Struthio camelus: one gene and its partner. The protein of the gene in region 2 binds, or shares a complex with, the protein of the main gene of each other region. Links are inferred from orthologs where the notes say so. Each region holds a gene or a part of one and is shown on either strand. Other genes may lie near its edges.

Evidence for each region.
Region 1: MYBL2 (region 2) and TFDP2 share a complex: the UniProt entries of both Homo sapiens proteins name them as parts of the DREAM complex. The link is inferred for Struthio camelus from reciprocal best matches to the Homo sapiens genes MYBL2 and TFDP2.

Annotation. Positions count from the first base shown.
Region 1 is NC_090950.1:15,383,343-15,387,243, forward strand, and holds the start of TFDP2 (transcription factor Dp-2), read right to left. Parts: upstream 2,968-3,901; 5' UTR 2,853-2,967; intron 1-2,852. UniProt on the Homo sapiens protein: Can stimulate E2F-dependent transcription.
Region 2 is NC_090959.1:5,763,488-5,767,388, forward strand, and holds the start of MYBL2 (myb-related protein B), read right to left. Parts: upstream 2,502-3,901; 5' UTR 2,433-2,501; coding exon 2,413-2,432; intron 1,237-2,412; coding exon 1,143-1,236; intron 1-1,142. UniProt on the Homo sapiens protein: Transcription factor involved in the regulation of cell survival, proliferation, and differentiation. Transactivates the expression of the CLU gene.

The DNA of each region.
Region 1 (3,901 bases), on a different chromosome or scaffold from region 2:
AGTTATAACACTGCCACTCCCCACTGCACCTCCACCTTTTTACAGTACTACCTAGCATACACCTAGTTCTTGAGATCCCTCAATAGGCATCTTATATATGAACTTTGATTTAATATATGTACTATTATTCCACTAAGGATTGTTTTCCACTGAATATCTTAAATTTTATGATAAACTTGTCTGATTGATTCAGATTGGCTTTGCACCCGGAAACTCCATAAGTTTATTTTCTTGCACTAGATCAGAAAAAGGATAATCAACTCACTCTATTTTAAAATTCACTATTGTTTCACTAGTAGTAGTCACGTTCTATGAATATAGTCAGAAAGGTGGGTGAGAAATCCTTAATCGTTATACCAAAAAAGCATGCAGAAAAGGCAATTTAAGAAAACATAGCAGAATAAAGACAGGGCTAAGAATGCTATTTTAAGGTAGCATATCAAGGAAATCAACTCCAAGAACTGAATTAGATTAGCTATAACTAAAGAACCCATTCTGATTCAAATTAGGACCCACGGGCGTAAATATTAGTATTTACGCAGCATGGGCCTCAGCTTCCCTTCCCTAACCATATCAGGTCACTAATTGCCCTTTGCTTTTAGAGAATTGCACCAAACTCTTCTAGGTACAATGAAGTGGTCTGCTCCCTTAAATCAGTTAACGATATACACTCTAGAAGGGGATGGAAAGTTGGAAATTTGGTTCCTTTTTTTGGCTAGTCCTGTAACAGCACTTTTAGCCAAACCCACAGAAAGATGCTGAAAGGCAAGGCCTTTTCTTCATTTTGAAGCGGCGCACAACTGTCCAGCAAGTGCGTCCAGATGCACAAGAGGCCCCTACAATAGAGTCCAACGTACACAAAAGCAGAAGCAAAGACTTCTCATGTAGCATCAGATCTCTTGCAAAACAGCACTATGCCTTTTGCCCAACTAAGTTGTTTGGCCTACCCCTTCTATACCAGGCAGCTGGGCTCAAGACGTATTGAAAACTATACCTTATCATTTTGTAGAGCGAGAACAACAATCAGAACTTTTTGCGGCAATGAAGAGCACGCCTATCAGTGATGCATGTTTTCTATAAAGCTAACTACATCAGCAAACTAATAGTTAAATAGTTTCTTTTTTCTCCTCTGTGCAAAAACAGTGATTTCTGTGCAAACAGGAAGTGGTTAAAAGAAAGCCCAATGAATTTGACAGTAAAATAAGATTGCTCTTAAATTCAACCCATATGAGATAATCTTGCTAATATTTAGTCATTTTCCATTTTTTCCTCAGTATAACACTAAATTATTCGCTCTATTATTCTTACCTCTAGTAGAAGCACTTGACTCTCTTCACAACAAAAAAGTTTTCAAAGAAGAGATATCTGTACTTTTTTTCTTTTGTGACTACTTCTCTTGTCAAGGCTTTTCTATAGCATGAACTTCTCCATGCTCTTTCAAAGCGCTATATTTAGCATACTAGATGCTATTTTGAACAGAAGCTACTGAAATTCAGGACTTGACTATGCACAATGGTTTTGCGCATACATGACACTGGCACAAACCTAAGCTGCTAAATAGAGTTCTGCATATGTATTACAACACTGATCTTCCTTTATGAGACGTTGTCCATGCATAAAATGATGTTTTCTGTAGAAAACAAAATATATCCTAATCAAATGATTCAGATTTAACCTGGGGAGGGCAGAGCGCTGGAAAATAATTCATTCATTTCTCTTTTAGTAGCATCAGTTCATAGCAGCATACAGTTGTTTTTTAATCAAAGATTACATCAAGTGGCAAGTAATTAAAATAACATCACATAACATATAGTTTGTTGACTTTTTTCTATCAGCAACGCTAAACTATGTAAGGGATAGCACTGAAAAAGACTCATCAACTGTTAAAAGTATTAACGCAGTTTCATTAAAATAATTGCATATAATCATTTTTCATTATTATACAGCACATCTGTTAAATTATATCAGCTTAACTATCATAAAAAACGACAGAGAAAATGAAAACCAGAGTCCTTTCTACAGAAGAAGGCAGCATATGAAGAAACCGTCCGAGCTCTCACACATAGTTCAGCACTATCTCTCTGCTCCATGGGGAAGCAAGTTCCCAGATGTGTTTTTTTTCTTCCACATCTCAAGGAAGTTTACTTATTCTATGCTTTCCTGCTATTGTTGTGCCATGCCTTTACGATCTGTATTCCTAAACCCGAAAGGCTGCGTTTACATTCGGACTCCTCTCCATCTTTAAACCCGTTTCGGCTGAAAAGTCAGAGGAGGCCTGCAACTCAGAGGGCACGGGAAGAGGCGTCTATTTAGTTCACGCTGTTATTGTTTTTCAAACCACCAACCCTCCCCCGAGAGAATCCGGCAGTCAGCGCAACCACGCGAGGCTGAACGCAGGGCTCGCCGGGCCACGAGCCGCTGGCTGAGCTCCGGCTACCGGGGGGTGGGGGGGGGGCCCCCGCCGCCGAGGCAGCGCCCCCCGCCCCCGCCGCGGCGGCCCAGCCCAGTCCGGCCCGGCCCGCAGCGTAGCGCTCCGCCCGCTCCCGCGGCGCGCAGGGCGGCTGTCACCCGCCGCCGCCCGCAGGTGCCAGGCACCGGCTCGACTCCCCGCCGGGCGCGGCAGGCGCCGCCGCCGCCTCCCCCGCGCGCCCGAGCCGCCAGCCGCCGCGCGGGGGGGGGGGGGCGCGGGCGCAGCCGTTAAACGCCGCGGGGCGCCGGGGGGGGGGGGCGGGGGAGGCGCCGCCGCTGCGCCCCCGCGGGAGGGGGGGGGGAAAGGAAGGAGGAGCGCGGCGGCGGCGCAGGCCCGGCCTAGGCATCGGCGCCGCGGCGACGAGACAGCGACGGTCCCTTACCAGACGGCGAGGCGGGGAGCCAGCCGCTCCGCCCGGCCCCGCGCGGAGAAGACGCCTCTCGGCCGGGCCGGCGCCGCGCACCCGCCGCCAGCGAGGAGGCCCCGCAGACGGGAGCCCGCCCGGGCCGGTGCGCCAGCCCCGGCGGGTGGCGTCGACTGCAGCTCGGCCGCCGCCGCCGCCACCTCCCCCCGCGCCCGGCCCCGCTCGCCGCCGCGCCGTGCTCTGCCCGGGTCCTTCTCCCCCGCACAAGCTTGGCGGCGTCTGGCAGCCGGGCGCTCCCATTGGCCGCCGCACCGCGTGAGCTCGGGCGCCCGCCGCGCGCTATTGGCTCGGCCCCTTGTGTGTACACACGCCGCCCGCCAATCCCCGGCGCGGCGGTGCAGGGGGCGGGGCGGAAGGGCGGAGCCGGCCGAGGGCCGAGGCCCGGGGCCGCCGTGTCCCCTGACGGCCCCGCGGCGGCGGCGGCGGCGGCAGGGCCGCGCCCCCTCGCCCCACCCCGCCCCGCCCCGCCCCGCCCCGCCCCGGGCAGCCCGGTAGGGGCAGAGCGGGCGGCGGGGCCCGGCGGCGCGGTGACGGCCGCTGCGCGGGCGGCGGGACGGGCGGCACTGGCCTGCCCGCTGTGAAACAAAGGCCGCCCGGGCCGAGCGCGACCCCCGCCCCGGCCCCGCCGTCCCGCTGCCCAGCGGTACCTGCGGGACCCTGCCGCTGCCCTCTCGTCATCAAAAGTTACTTTCAACAAAGCGGGATTAAGTATTCCTAAAGAGACAAAAAGAATAGACAAGTGTCTTGGGAGTTTTAAAAAAAAAGGGGGGGGGGAGCAACCCTAGACTAGTTCCGTTCAAAACCACGACGTGACATTTCTGAAAGAAACGAGAGCTCCAGCAGAGCGCTAGACATGCGTCCCAGGTATGCAGTAACTCTTCGTTTTTCTTTTTTTTTAATTCTATAACACAAAGTCACTCTAGTGCTACTCCGGGGGGGAGGGGGAAGGGAGTATTTGTGTGCCGAAACACTATTATTTCCATGTTTTAGAAATATCTAAGCCATAC
Region 2 (3,901 bases):
GCAGCACTCTAGCGCATGGACTGTTTGGTCCAAGGCTTTGTACAAGGACCAGCTTGTACAGTGAGATATAATACAAAAGCTCTGCTGCTGTGGTCACATTCAGGCCTCTCTCCGTTCTGTTCTAGTATAGCGCAAACGGTACCGTGCAGCCAGGGCTATCTCCTTATCCAGTCCCAGCACATCCCTGAGCAGACGGTCTCTCTTCAACTCAACCACTGCTTTTGCTGTCCAAGTGCATCGCTGCCAACCTAGTAGCCTCCTGCCTTTCAGCACTGATGAGCCCTTAGAGCACTTCTGTCAAAAACCACACCTTTCCCCTACTCCTACAGATCAGGCAAAGTCTGCTACAGCCCAGCTTGCCCATGTGCTCCGGCTGAGCAAAGAGGTAAGAAATAATTCCCTGCCCAACATGAGCCCAAGAGGCTTCGATCTCTGCACAAAGACCATTCTTACTCAGCGTTCAAACTCCAGGAGCAACAGGATATTTTGTAGTTCTCACACAGAATAGAGATTATGGAGGAACTAGGAGGCAGAGAACATCCCAACTAATTTCAGGCTCTCGGCCAGGATGACTAAACCATGATCCCAACACTCTCAGCGTTCTCTGCTCTCGCTACAGAAAAGGGAGGGCATCTCTACAGCACCACAGTGTGATTCAGCCCAGCAACGCCTCAGCCATCCTCTGGAACCGCTCTTCGCTCACTGGAGAGTCTCAGGCACTAGACGCCTCACTCAGGACTCGGATGCCTAAGCTGAAGTGGTCTGAGCTCCAACCCTCCTGCTGCACTTTAGACTCACCTGAAACTCCATCCTCACTAAGATCTCAGCTCAGGTCAGCAAAACAGGCCCAAGGCCTTTCCAGTAACGAGACAAGACATGAGGCGATGTTGTGGCCAGTCAGTGAGGACTTGGATGGAGGCACCCACCCCTCAGGTGCCATGCCAGAGGCCAGGGACAGCCTCCTTTCCCAGCTGCTAATGGATATGATAAATGAACATCCTCACCAAACGCCATCGACTTCCTTCCATGTGTCCAGCTGTTCTCTTACAGCTTATCCATGCCAGAAGTCCCCCAAACAACCACAGTATCTGCAACCCTCCCCAGAAACACCTGCTCTCAGGAAGTGCCAGGCTCTCACTCACCTCCTCCTGTGTCCATTTGACTTTGCACCTGCTGTCCCGCTGTTCTGACACATCCGAGTCAGTATCCTGACAATGCAAATCATCTTGGTCCTCACTGAAGAAAGAAACAAAAAAAGGTTATTGTTTCTTCCTCCCATAAAGAGACAGCAGAAAGAGCAACCTCCAGAGCAGAGAGCAGAGCTCCAGATCTACGGTCTTCCCCATGCTGAATCTCAACACCTCACAGACATTAACTCGGATACAGAAGGTTTAAAAGGGGTCCTCAGCTTTGAAATCTTGGTGTGTGCTAGCAATTCCTATGCTGCCAAGAGAGCAAGGAAAGGAACATTTCTCTTGATTTTTGCTAGCTTTTCCCCTCTGGGAGGGCTTTGTGTCTAAGGGCTGGCACCACTTTCCATCTCTGCAGATCATCAGTCTCCTTCCTTGATTGCCGGTGTAAACAAAAGAGATGAAAAAAGGAGGAGAAGCCAGTCCCAAAACAATTCAACAAGAACAAAATGGTCTGGAAGGCCCCAGAGCAGCTCTCAGAAGAGAAGCTAAGTGTTTTGGGGCAAGATTTCGAGGGAGAGGTCATCTCACACCACCCAGGCAGGGACTCCTGCAAGCACATCCCACCAGCACTGCACCCACAAAGGCCAACGATAACAGGGAGATGCTGGGCAGCTTTCTGCAGCGGACTGGGCAGCCCACACCACGGAGCTGCGCTGGCCCTGGGAGAGTGATCCTGGGGGCACCGACTGCTGCACATCAGCAGCCCCAAGCACGCGCTTAGGTCTCCTTTACCACTTTTTCCCTGCTCAGGGGCAGGAACAGGGCACAGACCACGGCCTCGCCAGCGGAGAGGCCTGTGGCACGGAGCCCGCCACACCAGCGAGGGCAAGCGGGAGCAGCCAGCCCTGCCCCAGAGGGCAGCTGAGGAGCGGGGGGCCGGGCCGCTGCCCTGCTCCGAAACGCAGCGCCCGTGCAGCGGGGCTGAGCGGGGCGCCGGGCAGGAACAGGCCGAGGCAGAGCCCGAGGGCCCGGCAGTGGGTCCTGCCGCCTGCTATGGGGCAGGCTGGGCCCCAGGCGCCGCGGGGGTAGTGGGGGGGGGGGGGGGGAATCCCGGGCTGGCACCCGCTGCAGGCAGGGCCGCCGCCGGCCTGCGCCTCGCCTCCCCCCAGCGCTGACCGCCCGCCCGCCCGCCCGCCTGCCCCTCTCCGCCCGCCCGCCCGCCCGCCCGGCGGGAAGGCGCGGGCACGGAGCCCCGCGCGCAGGCGGCGGCCCCACTCACCCGCGGCTGCGGCGCGCCATGGCGGCCGCGGGCTGGCGGCGCGGAGCCGCAGGTCGGGCGGGAGCCGGGCCGGGCCGGGCCGAGCCGGGCCAGGCGGGCGGGCGGCAGCGCGGCGGCAGCAGCAGGCACTTTCCTATCTCGCGCCAACTGCGGCCCCCCCCGCCGCGGGGCCGGGCCGCGCCTGCGCGCTGCGCCCCGGCGCCGCCCGCCCGCACAAAGAGGCGCGCGCGGGACGGCGCAGCCCGGCCCGGCCCAACCCGCGGGTCCCCTCACGGCCCGGCCCGCGGCTCTCTCACAGCCCGCCCCAGCCCCGGCCCGCGGGTCCCCTCACAGCCCGGCCCCGCTCCCACCCGGCGCAGAGCCCCCCTCAGAGCCCGGGGCCTCGAGCAGGACCCCCAGACACCCTTCCCCGCTGCGGGCCGGCAGCCCTCAGCGCGACAACTCGTGACAAAAACGTGACAGTCCGCTCCCTCGACTGGCGGGCCCCGAGGACGGCCAGGGACCCCGGCACGGGGAGCCCCCTCGCAGCCCGCCCTGCCGACGAGCTCAACGCTGAAACGCCCCCGAGGCCGCTTAACCGTCCGCCTGCGGGGAACCGCTCTCCGTAACCTGGAGTTGAAAAAGAAAACCGCGCCGGGACAAGTCTAAAGACAAATCTTCTCCTGCCCTCTCTGCCACCAGCCCCCGCGTGGCCACCCCAGGACCCCTCGGCGCAGCAGGGGCCTCCTCGCGCCCCTGCTCTAACCCGCCGCCGCTGCCCGCGTCCCTCCTCGCCGAGGGGCCGCTCGCAGGTCACCCGCATGGGGCAGGGGGGGTCCCACCGAGGGCCGTGGCTATCCTTGCAAAACCTAGCACTTTTCGGACACAGATACAGGCACAGGTTTGCCTTTTGGGGTGTAAAAGAGAGGCCTGAACCCCTCAGGGCACAGCTTCGCTTAACAGGCAGTCCGACAAGGCGGCCCTAGGAGGGGATCTGCGCTGGCCGCGATGCGGCCGCGTCCAGCCTCTTAGCCGCAGACCACCGAGCATCCCCGCAGCCTGCCGCCCGGCGCTGCTCCCTTCGCCTTCCCGGCACCTACCTCCCATCGAGAGGGCAGAAAAAAACCAATCAGAATTAAACACCTTCCCCATGCTGCTTTTCCAGCGCCACTGCTCCAGGGGGGCAGCGCAGGATCCCAAGCGGAGGGCACGGGTCGGCACGCTCCCAGCAGCTGGGGCTCTCCTGGAAAACCTTCACTCTACCTTTCCTTATCCCTTCTTGCCAGGGGGCGGCACTGTTATACCACGCACACAAAAAAAAGCAGGCCTGAAAAAGAAGCACAAGAAGTTACCCGAGTTATAGCTGTTCTTGAACACACCAGGAATTGGCACCACCGTATTTTGGACTGCTGCTGCTGTTTTTGCAGTGCACGCTGCGCATAGGTATCTACACATACCTGCTCGTGCCCCTGTTTTCATTCTAACTCCTAGCGTTTGGTCTGTGCACACA